2 linked regions of the Lonchura striata genome follow. The protein of the gene in region 1 purifies or fractionates together with the protein of each later gene. This does not show direct contact. Links are inferred from orthologs where the notes say so. Each region holds a gene or a part of one and is shown in the gene's direction. Other genes may lie near its edges.

Region 1 (6,976 bases):
AACCAAAGGAGCAGATCTGCTCGGGTGCTGATGGAGTGGAAAAAAGTCTGGTCCAACATTCTTAGTGCAGGGAGGGGAATGCCTCAAACCTCACACTAAATGGGCGATATGTTGTTTTTCATTAAACGTGGTATTTGGAATTACTCATCAGTTCATGCAGGAAATGGGGAAACTCTAAAAATTTTTAAATTCCAAGAATACACTCAGCAAAGCTGCTTTGGATTCAGGATGGGGACTTTTTATTGTTTGTGTACTATTTTGACACTGTGTACCAAGATCTCCATAGTGAGAACTATCTGTGGTTTGAACATAGAATTCCAAGACATTGGGTAGTGTTGTAGGTACCTTTTTCCTATATTAGTTTCCAAGAAACACTCGGTTTTCAGCCTCAGACCAAGTGATGCTGCTGTTTTACTGACTCTGACTAATAAAACCCAGCAAGCTAAACTTTACCATTGCTGGAAGACTCTTGCAGCAATAAATTCAATTTATGAGAACTCCCAATAAAAGTTTACATATCTTTCAAGTGCCATGAAAGAAAATGGGCAATCTGACAAAAAAAAAAAAAAAAAAAAAAAAATCAAGATGTTTCTTTCTTTATGACAAAAAATGACTATTCAGTGAAGCATGAAGGTTTTCTCTCAGACATTGTTCCTCAGCATGTTCTCACAGTCACCCTTGGTCCTGGATAAATGCTGGAATAAACAAATAAATAGCGTTTCACCACGCATGCAGGAGGATAAAATAAAAACCACATCGTGCTGGATCACAAATGCTTCAGGAAGTTCTGGCTGAATGTGAAAAGTACTTTGTAATGCTAATAAGTGTTTATCCTTTTGCTTCCTCGAATGTAATCAAATGTACAGGGAAAGCACATGGATTTTAGAGCTGCTGATTGCAGGATCAAAAGACTCGTTATTAATTGCACATGAATCTGATGTTGTTGGGCCCTTAAGATGTCAACTGACATCATTGTTTGCTTCCTTTGTTTATAGATGCTTGTTTTAGAGAGGGGTTATTCCTGCCACGAGCCCTTTGGAGTGTTCTTTCCTGTAGGTGGGTGATCCATTCCTGCAGGTTTGGGAAATGCCTGAGGCACAGGGAACCTACCTCACAGCACTTGGATTATGGAATATCCCTGATTTTGCTGCATTTGGTGTCAACCCCTCCACAAATCCCAACACAAGTGGGATGGTGGTGACATTCATGGACTTTCTGCCTGCTGGGATCCACTCTCCACACCAAACTGCAGCAGTCTGGTCCTACATCTTAATAAACAAACAGCAAAAAATCCCTGAAACATGGCCTGCTATAAACAACCAAAGCAAACAGCTGGTCCTCATTTGAAAAAAGATGTGACATCAATTTCAAAATGAATCTGCAGATCTTCTTAATGCAAATATTTTTGGGAAAACAAAAAGCAGCTGTTTATTCTTCTTTATACCTATTTGCAGGAGAACAAAATCCAGGATGCTTGTATTTCTTCCGCTAAGAAAAACATCCTCTTGGCCTCAACATTCATTTAGAGCTCAAATTGTTTGAAATATACTGGGCTGCCTAATTCTGCTATTGCTGTGCTGCTCCAGCAAGCAGCTAGGAGCTGTTTCTGTTCAAAACTAAAAGCTGCTACAAGTAGAATTGTCATTGAGTACTTTGCATGAATTTTGTGACAGAAAGAGGGAATTTTAGAACAGACATTTTCAAATTTATCAGTTCTGGCCTCCCAGCCCTGAGGAGCATTAGATGTGTGGATCCCTGGACAAAAATGGAATCATTTGGCCATTGTAATGAACAGGTTTGCTTTTCTTAATTACTGCTGGGAGGCAGCTGGGAGGAAATGCAAGGACTGGAGGAGGATCTGGGAACTGCAAAATAGGAGCCATTTGGGATTGCTCCATCTGACAAAGCGGATTGAAGGAGGTTAGGCTGAGGAATAGTGGCAAAGAACTGAATTTGGAGTCTCTTGAGCCTTCTGAGGTCATGTGGCTTCTCTCCCAAATGTGGAAGGGTAATTTCCCACCTTTGGGTTTGTTTGGTACTGTCTCTTGATGGAGTTTTATGTGGTTTTGTGTTTCTGTGGACGAATACAGTTCCTGTTTCTCCTGACATCGTTCTACTGTTTTCTCTCCACCCTTCCGGGTTCATTTTGTTTCTGCCACCGCTGAGAGCTGTTCTGTCTGCACGGGCTCCATTGTGGTGCAAATTCATGTAGTGCAGTCTTGTCTCTGGCTATTGTAACCCGATCCACGTCCAAGCTGTTCACTGCCCTGGAAATTGGGGTTGTCTGTGACATCCACAGGACAAGCCCTGTGTGACTGCAGAGTCTGTGACATCCACAGGACAAGCCCTGTGTGACTGTTGTGTCTGTGACATCCACGGGACAAGCCCTGTGTGACTGTTGTGTCTGTGACATCCACAGGACAAGCCCTGTGTGACTGCTGTGTCTGTGACATCCACAGGACAAGCCCTGTGTGACTGCTCTGTGACATCCAAGGGAAAGCCTTGTGTGACTGCTGTGTCTGTGACATCCACAGGAAAAGCCCTGTGTGACTGCTGTCTGTGACATCCACGGGACAAGCCCTGTGTGACAGCTCTGTGACATCCAAGGGAAAACCCTGTGTGACTGCTCTGTCTGTGACATCCACAGGACAAGCCCTGTGTGACTGCAGAGTCTGTGACATCCACAGGACAAGCCCTGTGTGACAGCTCTGTGACATCCACGGGACAAGCCCTGTGTGACAGCTCTGTGACATCCAAGGGAAAGCCTTGTGTGACTGCTGTCTGTGACATCCACAGGAAAAGCCCTGCGTGACTGCAGAGTCTGTGACATCCATGGTACAAGCCCTGTGTGACTGTTGTGTCTGTGACATCCAAGGAAAAAGCCCTTTTTTCACCCCATGTTGGCATTTCCAGCTCCTACAGCAAACCCAGGGAAAGGCTTTTGGCTCCCCAGGGCCAAGTCTGCAGTACAGAGTCCCAATGGAGGTTTTTTGGGGTCTTGGTAATAAAACTGGGGTGAAACAAGGCCTGACCTATTCCATAAAAAGCTGCAGAGGAAGCTGTTGGTGCTAACGAATCCTTACATTTTCCTGGGATCATTGTCTGCTGTAGCTCTGAGATTCCCGTATTGAGGACAGGCCAGGAGTCTGGAATTGGGATGTCTTACCTGAAATCCCTGCAATGGGAATTACTCCAGTAAAAGGAACAAATGCTTTATTTTGAGACAGTCTGAGTATAACAGGAATGCTTTATTAGTAGATATACCCTGATTTTCTGTGATCCCGTTATCCCTGGCACAAGTGCCTGAGCCCTGAAGGCCTCCAGTGTGTCAGCATCTGCACGGCTTCCAGCAGGTACCTCCCAACACCAACACTTCCTTTTCAAAATAATTCACGATTACTTTTAAAATAATAAATAATTAATAATTATCCCTGGCCTTAAGCAGCTGGAGGCTGCTTCTTCTTCCACATCACTTTAGACCTGGTACCTTACAGGCATGCATAAAGTGCAGTTTACCTTTGCAAAACCCAGCTTTACGAGTTTGCTACTCGTTACCTCTTCTGGGCGGCGTCTGCCGTGCTACCCGCCTGCCTCGTGCTGCCTTTCGTTTAAAGCTAAAACAAGTGCGTTTAAAGGCGCTCGAGGGAGCGACGTTCCCGCGCGGAGGCTCCGGGACCGACTGAGGGCCGGCCCCGCGCTGCGGGCGCGCCCCCCGCAGGCCCCGCCCCGGGCCGGCCCCCGCGCTCTGATTGGCCGCCGCGCTCACCCCCGCGCCGCAGTTGGTGCCGCCGTGCGCGCCGTCCCCCCCGCGCCGGTGGCGTGGTTCGCTCCGCCCCGCCCCCCCGCCCCGCCGCCGCGCATCCATACTTGGCGATGGCCGGCGAGCCGCGCGCTGATTGGCGGGGAGCGGCGCGGGGCGGGGCCGGCGGCGCTGACCCGGATGTTCACTGCCGGGCGGCGGCGGAAGCGGACGGGCCGCGGCGTCGAAGCGACAGGGACGGACCGGGAGGCGCCGCCGTTCTACCGCCCCGCGCACCCGCCCAGCCGACATGGTGAGAGCGGGCCGGCCCCGCGCCCCCGCCGCGGCCCCCGCCCTTCCGCACGGCCCCCCCGCAGCAGCCCCCGCGCCCACACCGCCCCCTCGCACCGGGGGGCCTCGCCCGGCCTCCCCCGGGCGGCGGGGACGGAGGGAGGGGCGGCCCAGGCGGTGCTGCCGGGACGCGGGGAGGGCTGGCCCGGCCTGAGGGCGCTGCTGCGGGGGGGCTAAGGCTAGCGGAGGCTCTGCCCGGCGCACCGCAGGGCCCGGGGGCGGGGGGCTCCCCGGGGCTCCGCTGCCCGGTCACTGCCAGCTCTCCGGTGCCGGTCCCGGGCGGTGCTCGCAGAGGGAATGATGTGGAATTACCCAGGGAACGGTTCCGCTTCGGCGGGGAGCGGTACCGGGGGCGCTGCCCGGCGGGCCCGGCGGCCGTGGCTCCCCGCAGGAAGGCCGGCTGTTCCCCCCGTGCGGTACCGGGAGCGCTGCGGGGCACCGAGAGCCGGGCACTGCCCGAGCAGCGGCTGCTGCAGCCCTGGTGCTGCTCCGCACGCCCGGGAACTTGCCTTTCCCACGGACCAGCCCCACTTGCCTCAGCCGTGTGGAATAATCTCCGTCCCGCTGTGTTTCCCGAACGGATTGGCCCGGGGCACAAACCCTTTCGGTGCCACTTTGGTGCTGTGCAAAGGGAGCCGCTCCAGCTGCGGGCCCAGGCCCTGCTCCGCTCCCTGCCTGCTGGCCGGGGCTCTTCCCGAGCCTCCTCAGCCATGGAGTCACTTGTAGGGAATCACATCACTTTGTGCTGTTGGGGATTTCTGATTCAGGCTTTCCAACATGACAATTCAACAATGTTTGAATGTGTTTAGTTCATAAAAGATCAACCCAGAGCCTGGCTCTACAGCAGTGTGAAGTCTGTTTAACCACACGAGTGTAATCCTTTACTTCTTGCCGTCATCCATAGGAATTTCAGAGGCGATGCCTTATGTTTTTTCTCTGGAGCTGGAGCCACCTGTATCATGCAGGATAAAGATCTTTAATGTGAGGTGAAAGGTGAAGAACAGTTATGACCAAAGTTCTGTTCCTTATTGGTTCAAACAAGAGCAGGTGCCATACCTGAGTCCTGGCAGGATGGAGCATCTTATTCCAGCTGTGTACCTAATTGTAACACACTGAAATCTGTGTGTGCAAGACCTGACTGTAGAGTCTCAAACTGGGATTCCAACAAACTGTCCTAACTTATGCCACTGCAAAAATTGTCACAGGAAAAGAGTTCAAAGAAAACAAGGAGGCTTCATGGAAAGTAACAACAGTGGTACCAACTTCTTTGAATGGGATATAAAACGTGCTGTTAGGAAAATCCAGTCAGGGTTTAAATGTAACTGTGTCAGTAGTTTGGAGGAGGTACAGCACAAATCCTTTGGAAATTTCCTGACTGTTACCGGGTTTTGCTGCTTTCTGTTTTTTTTCATGTTTAGTTGTGCAAACCACTGGGCATAGGAGAAATTGGATCAGAACTTCCAACACTATGTGCTGGTTTCCAATGTTGAGTGGACTTCAGGGATGAACCTGCAGCCTCCAGTTTCAACTCATGTGCAAACCCAGCGTGTAGGGTGCTTGCAGGATCTTTACTTTTAATGGTCTGAGACCAGAAGTGGAGCGTTGAAAGGGTGGAATGGCCCTTTCATTGAAGGGAGCAGTTGGTATGGTGCAGGATATTGGGTGAGACACCTTCATGGTACCACAGGGCTACCAATGTCTGTGTAGAGCAGAGCTGGGAACCTTGGTCTCCTCGGAGAGCTCGGAGCTGTGCCCACATTTCAGTCAGGTGCTCAGGGAAACAGGGCAGGGCAACACATGAAGCTTGAAAACTGCCTGGATGGATGGTGTCTCCTGTGCTAAAAATAAATGGAATGCTCTGTTCAGGGCAAAGCAGGACTTGGGAGAGTGGATCTGCTGAGATTTCTGGAATTGTGGGTTGTGAATGGATGGAATCCAGTTACTCTTTGTAAAAATAAAACCCTTCATTTCCAGGTTATGTAAACTGGCCTGATCGTGTTAGCAAGGATTTCTTCTGCTATGCAACTCTTGAGAAAAAGGAGGACAATTTTAACAAAATTTATGATTTAATCATCCATAAATTCAGGCTGTCTAGTGTAGTGCTGGCTGTGCATCATCCATCTAGGATTTGTGAGGCAGATATGGAGCAGTGAAGCACAGCCCAAGGTGTGTGATGTGACAGTGACACCAACACGCACCTCGTGTGCTGCTCAGGGTCCACTAAGATTTTCAGGATAGGAGTTGTTTGTCTGGAATCAGAACCCATCTCTAACCTGGCTGTATCCCTCTTGGACCTCCAAAATGTGCTGTGGAGGTGTGGGGACGTTTTCAGTACCCACAGCAAGTCCTTTGCACCTTGTTCCTTTTGAGAAACACCAACTTCAGCTGTTTTGTAGAGTCTGTGTTTTATTAGGCAAGCCAAGTGTGTGAGCTTAACTAAATGTTATCTTAAACGGCAAATTCCCAAAATAATCAAATCAGAGGATATCACTGGGAGAGGGAATACTGCCATTGCAGTGATGCTTAATCTTGTGGTTTATTAGGGAGGCAAAAACATTCACAAGCTGAAGTTGTTCAAACAGGATTTCCTCATATGGTAAATATATATGCTGATATGAGACTAATTCACATCTGGGAGTGAAACAGAATGAAAGTGCAGCTCAGCTCTTCTGGGGGCCTATTTTTAGTCCTTATTACTGGAGTTGAGTTGAGAAATTACTTTCTTTGGGAAAGAGACCATGCTGCCCTTCTCAATGTCTACTTGCACAGCTGTCAGCTTTGCTTTCCATCCATCCCTTGACTTCCCTGGGTGAAGGATGGCTGGGGAACTCGGTTTGCTCATCATCATCCAGCACTCCCCAGTGCTCTGCTGGTCCAGTGTGCTGT
Region 2 (7,704 bases), on another chromosome or scaffold:
GTGGTGCTGCGGGGAGGGGGGCAGGCACTTGCTGCCGAACTGGTGTGTACTGGGATTAACGGGACGCGGGGGGCTGCTGCCACCCTCCTCCCCTGCCTCAGTTTCCCTCACAGTTCTGGTCAGGCAGCACAGGCGGGTGTGGGGATCCCTGCTGTTGGCTCAGGGGTGTCTCATGTAGGGTGAGGACAAGAGGACCACACCCACCTGGGCAGCGGGTGCCACCCTCCAGCAGGACAGGCAGGAAGGGGGTGGGGGAGCCCAGGATGCAAACGGTCATGTCCAGCGGGCCATATCCTGCCAGGAAGGGAAGGGTTAACAGCCCCGGGATCGGGACCCTGGCACCCCAGTGTGGCTGGGAACCCCAAAACTCCTCGTGTCCCTAGCCTGGCACCATATCCCCATTGCCACCCTTATCCCTGCCACCCCATTATCCCAGCCTGGCACTGCGCCCACATCACTGTCCCTGCCACCCCCGTGTCCCAACCTGGCACTGCGCCCACATCGCTGTCCCTGCCAGCCCCGTGTCCCAGCCTGGCACCGAGCCCACATCACTGTCCCTGCCACCCCCGTGTCCCAGCCTGGCACCATTCCCCCATCCCCACCCCAGTCCCTGCCACCCCCGTGTCCCAGCCTGGCACCGTGCCCCCCGTGTCCCCAACCCGTGCGGGGCTCCGCGGAGCAGTCCAGCGTGGGGGGCAGCCCCTCCTGGCACAGGGCGCTCTGGAGCCGCTCGTAGGCGTGGGTGGCACAGTCGGGGTCCCCACTGTCCCCGGGCACTTCGCCATCGGGGGCTTCGTCCTCCAGCCAGCCTGGGCACAGCGCCTCGGGCCCTGCCCACTCCTGCTCCTCCGGGCTGGGCACCCGCTCCGTGCTCGGCTGGGACGTCGAGAGCTGCGGGAGCAGGGACAGGGCTGGCACGGGGCTGGCACGGGGGTAAGGGGGTGGTATGGGGCTGGCGTGGGGTTAAGGGGCTGGCACGGGTCTGGCACGGAGCTGGCACGGGGACAGACCCCGTGTGGGCACGGGGCGTACACGGGGGGGCTGACACAGGACACAGCGGGCGCCGCTGCCCACCCGTGGGGTGGGGGCGTCGGGGTGCTGGGGGGCTGCAGGCGCCGGGCACGGCGCCACCACCTCGGGGACAACGGGGCAGTGCCAGCCGCCGGGGCCGCCAGCTCCCGGACAAAGCGTCCCCTTGTCCCCGCGGGGTCACGCGGCGGGTGGGCACAGCACGCTGCGCTGCCCGCTGCCCCACGCCAGTGCCCGGCACCGCCGGGATCCCGGGATGGGGCATCCACCTCCGCCCGGACCCCCCCACCCGGGGGCCACTCACCATCCTGGTGACAGAGGGGCTGCAAGAGAAGGACAGGCAGAGTCAGCGCGGCTCCCTGGGGACTTGCCACCCCTCCCTGGCCGCCCCCGGCCGGTGCTGGGAGCCCCAAGCCCAGCTCCCGTGGAGAGACCTGTCCTGCAGCACCCACCAGAGCCTGGCACCCTTCCTGGGGCACACCTCGGTGCCAGCTCCGCTGTCTTCATGTTGTCCCCTCAGCGCTAGTCTCAGTGTCCCCGCACTGACCCCTCGGTGCCAGTCCCTGTGGCCCCAGCTCGTCCCCTCTTTGACAGGTCTGGTGGCCCCAGATTGACCCCTTGGTGCCAGTCACGGTGGCCTCAGGTTGTTCCCTCGGTGCCAGCCCCGGTGGCCCCGGCACCTCCGGCTTAGTGTAATCCCGTGCCAGCTCAGCACAGCCGGGGGCACCTCCCCATCCCGGGGGTGCCAAGGTGCCCTGGGGGTGCAGACCCAGGGACCGGTTGTCCCCACCCCCCTGGTGCCTTCGCTCCCAGCAGGTGCCCGGCAGAGCTGGGCACAGAGGGAAACTGAGGCACGGAGCTGAGCGGTGCCCGCTGGCAGCCAGGATATCCCCAAGCCTGGCACCCGGTGACAGCGTTAGGGGACACACGGCTCGGTGGCGTGGCACAAGGGCCCCCCAAAACCCAGTCACGGGGGTCCCTCAAGGTCCGCGCCCCCCCAGCCGCGGGACCGCGCTGTCCCCCTCCATCCCCAGCTGGGAGGTGCTGCTGCTGTCCCCAAGCTGGGACAGCTGTGTCGCCCGGTACCTTGGGGTGGGAGCCGTGGCCTGAGAGCTCGCAGGGGACGAGGGCTCGGGGACGCCTGGCACAGGGGACGCCGGCCGGTCTGGCCTTTAAACCCCCCCGCGCCACCCCGGGGTGCCAACCCCCGGCCCCGTGCCCCGGATTAGGCGACACAGAGCCTCATTGTCCCCTCTGCCACCTCGCGCCAGGCGCTGGCACCCCTGTCCGTGTCCCTGTCCCCGTCAGTAGCGAGCTGCCTCAGCGGGAGCCGGGGGGAGGATCAGCCTGGCCGGGCTCTCCTGTCCCCCTGTCCCGCGTCCCCTGGCTGGGCACGCCCCTCGTCCTCCCCCCCGCCCTGTCCCCCTGTCCCCAGCGTGGCGGAGCTGCCAGCACGCACGTCCCCCGGCTTAGTTCCAGCTGCCCGCGGCGTCACTGTCACTGTCACCGTCACGGCCACCGGCAGGCACGGGGCCACCAGCGCGGCTGCCGTGCTGCAGAGTCCTGCACGCGCTGTCACCCGCTGCCTGCCACCCGCGCCACCCCCTGCACCCTGCCACCCTCATTGTCACCTGAACTGTCACGTGCGCCCTGTCACACACAACCCACCACGCACCGTCACCTGCACCACCACCAGGGTCTTGTCACCCGCACCTGTCACACACCTCGTCACCCACACGGCGACACCGCACCATCGCCGGCACCTTGTCACCTGCATCTGTCACCCGCCACTTGTCACTCATATCACCTACCTGTCACCCGCACTGCCACCCAGACCCCATAACCCGCACCATGTCACCGCACCGTCACCTGCACCCTGTCACCCTCACCGTGTCGTGAACATCATCACCCACCTGTCACCTGCGCTGTCACCGGCACCGTGTCGCAGGTGTGCACACGCACCCCGACCCCCATCCCGCTGCTCCCGCCCCCCGGCACCGGCACCCCCAAGCCCACCCAGATCACCCCCGCTGCCTTCAGCACCCACCGGTGCCGGTGCCGGTGTCTGTCGGTGCCGGTCTGTCCTGGTGTTGTCGCACCCGGCAGTGGAGCGGCTCTGCTCGCTCCGGTCCCGGCGGTGTCGGGGTCTGGTGGGGTTTCCCGGTGTCGGTCCCGGTGCTGTCGCAGCCCCAGCAGCGGCTCTGCCCGCTCCGGTCCCGGCGGTGGCGGCGGTGCCGTGTCCTGCTCGGGCGGGGCGGGGCGGGGCGGGACCGGGGGCACCGGGGGGACCGGGACACCGAAGGGGGTGGCAGAACAAAGGGGGCAGCGGAGGTGAGGGTGGCGGAACCGGGGTGCCACCGCTGGGAGACGGGGACAAGGGACTCGGGTAGGGAGTGGGACAAGGGACGGGGATAGGGACGGGGGTAGGGGACAAGCGTCCGGAGGCAGGGACGGGGCCAGCCCGGGGTCACCCGGGGCCGGGTGTAAAACTGACACCGCGAAGCAGAAATGTCAGGGCAGGTCCCGGGAGCTATTCGCGACCTCCCCGCACGACATGGAATGGGACGCGGGGAATGGCATGGCGTGGCACGGCGTGGCACCCTGGGAATGGCACCCAGGGAATGGCACGGCGTGGCAAGGCATGGCACAGCCAGTGTGGACAAGGGACAGCCATGACCCCATCCCTGCCACTGCCACCGTCCACGAGCGGTGGCACAAATGTGTCACCCTCCCCCGTGTCCCCGGTGGGGACACGCCCTTCGGGGTGTCCCCGGGGACCTCAGCGTGGCGACAATCTCCCGGCAACCGCCCGGTGCTGCTCCCGACGGTGTCCCCAGAGTCCCCGGGTGGGGATATCCCTGGGCTCTACCAAGCATCCTGTCCCCTCGTGTCCTCCCGGGTCCCCAGGCTGTCCCTGCGCGCCCAGGACCGGGATACAGATCCTCGGTTCCCTCTGTGTCCCCTCCTGTCCCTCGCAGTCCCGGGAACCTCTGTCTATCCTGAGGCTGTTCCCCTCCCACTCCCTCCCTATCCCTGTGCCCCCAGGCCAGGATACGAGTCCATGTCCCCCGTGTCCCCTTGCCCGAGCTCTATCCCTTGCCCGGCGTGTCCGCCTGCCCGGGTTGTAGAGAACAACGCAGGATGTCGCCTTTCCCAGGATGTCCCCTTTCCCAGGACGTCCTCCGCTCCAGGGAAGTCCTTCAGCCCGGCACGTTCTCCTTTCCAGCGAAGGCTCTCTGCCCGCGGTGTCCCCCTTGCCCGGGAATATCCCGTTGCCGCGGTGTCCCCTTTCCCAGGACATGTCCCTCTGCCAGGGGTGTCCCTCTGCCCGGGGTGTCACGTTTTCCCTGCTCGGAATGTCCCCCTGCGGAGCGTGTCCCCGTGCCCCTGCGCCCCCGCCGCGGCTCGCTGCTGCCGGTGTCCCGCGGCTCGCTGCTGCCGGTGTCCCGCGGCTCGCTGCTGCCGGTGTCCCCGCGGCTCGCTGTTGCCGGTGTCCCGCGGCTCGCTGCTGCCCGTGTCCCCGCCGCGCCGTCCCCGTTTCCCCCGGGGCACCGGGGCCGGCCGGGCTGCAGCGACTCCTCCGGGCCGGCAGGGGGCGGGCGCGCGGCGGGGCCGCTGCGGGCGGGCGCGCGAGGCGGGGCGGCGCGCGGGCGGCCATGGCGGACACCGAGAAGCTCAACCTCGACTCCATCATCAGCCGCCTCCTGGAGGGTGAGCGGGCCCCCGCCGCCCCCCCGAGCGCCGGGACGCCCTCCCTCCGCTCCCGGAACCTCTCGCGGCCGGCTCGGGCCGCGTCCCAACGCCGCGGGGGGAGTCCCCGGCCCGGGCCTGGCGGGGGCGGGTTAGGCCGCGGTGGTTCGGGGGGGGGTCAGGGCTGGGAAAGGTTTTGGGGGGTTCCCATGGGGCCTGGGCAGCCGGAGATGAGTCCGGGGGATGTGGGGGATATGAGGCGGGATACCGAATGGGTTTGTGCCCCGCGGGAGGGGGCTGGGGGAAATGGGGGGTTCCCAAAGGGTCTGTGCCCCGCGGAGGGGCACTGGGGGGCCCCGAAGGGTCTGGGGGCTGGAGCTGAGCCTGCAGGGCGTGGGGGATACGGGCAGGGAGGGCTGGGGCAGCTGGAGAAGGGGTTCCCGGGGTGCTGTAGGTGTCCCCGAGCCCTTGGAGATCCCTGATCCTGTTCTCTGTGCTGGGAGCAGTCCAAGGATCGCGGCCGGGGAAAAACGTGCAGCTGACAGAGAACGAGATCCGCGGGCTGTGCCTCAAATCCCGGGAGATCTTCCTGAGCCAGCCCATCCTGCTGGAGCTGGAGGCACCCCTCAAGATCTGCGGTGAGGCCTGCACGGCTGCTGGGCAGCACTGGGCTGGTGCGGGGGGCTGCAGGGTGCCACTCACAGCCTGTGTCCCCCCTCCAGGTGACATCCACGGGCAGTACTACGACCTCCTGAGGCTCTTTGAGTACGGGGGCTTCCCCCCTGAGAGCAATTACCTATTTTTGGGCGACTACGTGGACCGGGGCAAGCAGTCCCTGGAGACCATCTGCCTGCTGCTTGCCTATAAAATCAAGTACCCCGAGAACTTCTTCCTGCTGCGGGGCAACCACGAGTGTGCCAGCATCAACCGCATCTATGGCTTCTATGATGAGTGTGAGTGCCCGGGCTGTGCCCCCCAAAACCCCACTGCCATCCCTGGGCTCCCCCTTTCCCGGTGTCATCCCAGTGCTGTCCCACACTGACCCCACCTGTGACCTCCTTCCCTCCCCACCATGTCTTCCTGCCCTTCCTCGGTGTCCTCCTGCCCACCCCCAGGCTGTCCCCTGGGTCACCTCCAAGCCCCCTTTGTGCCCCGCAGGCAAGCGAAGATACAACATCAAGCTCTGGAAGACCTTCACCGACTGCTTCAATTGTTTGCCCATTGCTGCCATCGTGGATGAGAAGATCTTCTGCTGCCACGGAGGTGGGAATGGCCCTTCCCAGGGGCTTGGGAGGGCTGGAGGAGGGTTGGGGTCTCCTTGCTGAGCTCTGGGGTGCCCCTTTCCCGCAGGGCTGTCCCCAGACCTGCAGTCGATGGAGCAGATCCGGCGGATCATGCGGCCCACGGATGTCCCGGATCAGGGGCTGCTCTGTGACCTGCTCTGGTCCGACCCCGACAAGGACGTGCAGGGCTGGGGGGAGAACGACCGTGGGGTCTCCTTCACTTTCGGGGCCGAGGTGGTGGCCAAATTCCTGCACAAGCATGACCTGGATCTCATCTGCCGGGCGCACCAGGTACCACCGGGACCCCCAGACACTGGGGACATGGGGGTTTGGGTCTCCAGTGGGTGTCAGGTGGTTCTACCCCGAGTGTTTCCCCTTCAAGGGCAGTGTGCACCCCAGGAGTGTGTGGGTTGGAATTCTGGGGGTGTTTGTCCTGGGATTTGGGTATTTGCCTCAGCATTTGGGTGTTTGCTCTGATGTCAAACTATTTGCCCAGGGGGGATGAATAGTCACCCTGGGATGTGGCTGTTCCTCCCAGAGGCTGGATAATCGCTCTGGAGATGGATATTTGCCCTGGGGCAGTGGGTGTTTGTCCCAGTGCTGGCTGTTTGCTGCGGGGAAGGGAGCATTCACCTTGCTAGAGAGGGCTGGATTTCAGCCTGGGGGACTGGGAATACTGGGATAGTGGCCATGGGGGGTGGATTTTTGCCAACCCCGTGCCCCCCCCCAGGTGGTGGAGGATGGCTACGAGTTCTTCGCCAAGCGCCAGCTCGTCACCCTCTTCTCGGCCCCCAACTACTGCGGCGAGTTCGACAACGCCGGCGCCATGATGAGCGTGGATGAGACCCTCATGTGCTCTTTCCAGGTGAGCCCAGGGAGGGGAAACACCCCCAGTTCCTGCCGGGAGGGCTGCAGGGAGTTCTGCCCTCCAGGGCAGTGGAGAGCCGGGGTGGGAGCTCACTGATTTCTTTCCCCCTTCCCCCGCAGATTTTGAAGCCGGCCGACAAGAACAAAGGCAAATACGGGCAGTTCAGCGGGCTGAACCCCGCCGGACGGCCCGTCACCCCTCCCCGAAACTCTGCCAAAGCCAAGAAATGAGCTGGGAGCCGCCCCTGTGCTGCCCACGCCCCGCAGCCCCCCGCCCAAGCATCAGGTCGCTTTTCTTTCGACTCGTTTTTTTATTTGTAGGATCCTGCCCCCCTCCCGCCACGCTCCACCAAAGCAAATCCAGGCCCAGGGCAGGTAGAGCTGGGGCGAGGGGGGAGCCCAGAGCCCAGCCCTGGGGTGGCAGCAGAGGGGGGGGGCAGGAGGCTTTTTTGAGGAATAAACTTGTAATGGGTCACTGGGGGGTGCCTGTCCTGGTGGTTGGATGGAGGCTGGGGCTGGCAGTGACTCGGGGCTCAGCTTTCTCCATCGCTGTCCTCCGCCAGCACCTCCTGGGTGGTGGCCGGGCCAGGCCTCCCTGGTGTCATCACCGAGCCAAAAAACAGGGAGCGAAACTGTGGAGAAAAATGGAGGGTTCAGGAGGAGGCTCTGCCCACCCCCTGCCCCCAGGCACACCCATCCCTCACCCTTTTGTGCGGGGGGGTCCCTGGCACAGCTCCTTCCTCCTCCTCCTCCTCCTCCTCCTCCTCCTCCTCCTCAGGTTTGCTCTTGGCTGGCCGGGGGATGTGCAGGGAGAAGGTGGGGCTGGGGGGCCCCT

The links. The genes of interacting proteins can lie anywhere in the genome.
Region 2: the proteins of CAPZB (region 1) and PPP1CA purify together in Homo sapiens (affinity purification with mass spectrometry; 3 studies listed by BioGRID and IntAct, with this or other methods). This does not show direct contact. The link is inferred for Lonchura striata from reciprocal best matches to the Homo sapiens genes CAPZB and PPP1CA.

What each region holds. Positions count from the first base shown.
Region 1 is NC_134626.1:7,422,597-7,429,572, reverse strand, and holds the start of CAPZB (F-actin-capping protein subunit beta), read left to right. Parts: upstream 1-3,935; 5' UTR 3,936-4,049; coding exon 4,050-4,052; intron 4,053-6,976. UniProt on the Homo sapiens protein: F-actin-capping proteins bind in a Ca(2+)-independent manner to the fast growing ends of actin filaments (barbed end) thereby blocking the exchange of subunits at these ends.
Region 2 is NC_134608.1:53,829,277-53,836,980, forward strand, and holds PPP1CA (serine/threonine-protein phosphatase PP1-alpha catalytic subunit), read left to right. Parts: upstream 1-4,685; coding exon 4,686-4,740; intron 4,741-5,225; coding exon 5,226-5,357; intron 5,358-5,441; coding exon 5,442-5,672; intron 5,673-5,877; coding exon 5,878-5,982; intron 5,983-6,069; coding exon 6,070-6,293; intron 6,294-6,732; coding exon 6,733-6,867; intron 6,868-6,989; coding exon 6,990-7,100; 3' UTR 7,101-7,171; downstream 7,172-7,704. Other genes in the region: CARNS1 (carnosine synthase 1), read right to left, coding at 205-294, 660-922, 1,075-1,352, 2,489-2,582, 2,743-2,836, 2,943-3,389, 4,582-4,687; cell cycle checkpoint control protein RAD9A, read right to left, coding at 7,403-7,501, 7,574-7,704. UniProt on the Homo sapiens protein: Protein phosphatase that associates with over 200 regulatory proteins to form highly specific holoenzymes which dephosphorylate hundreds of biological targets.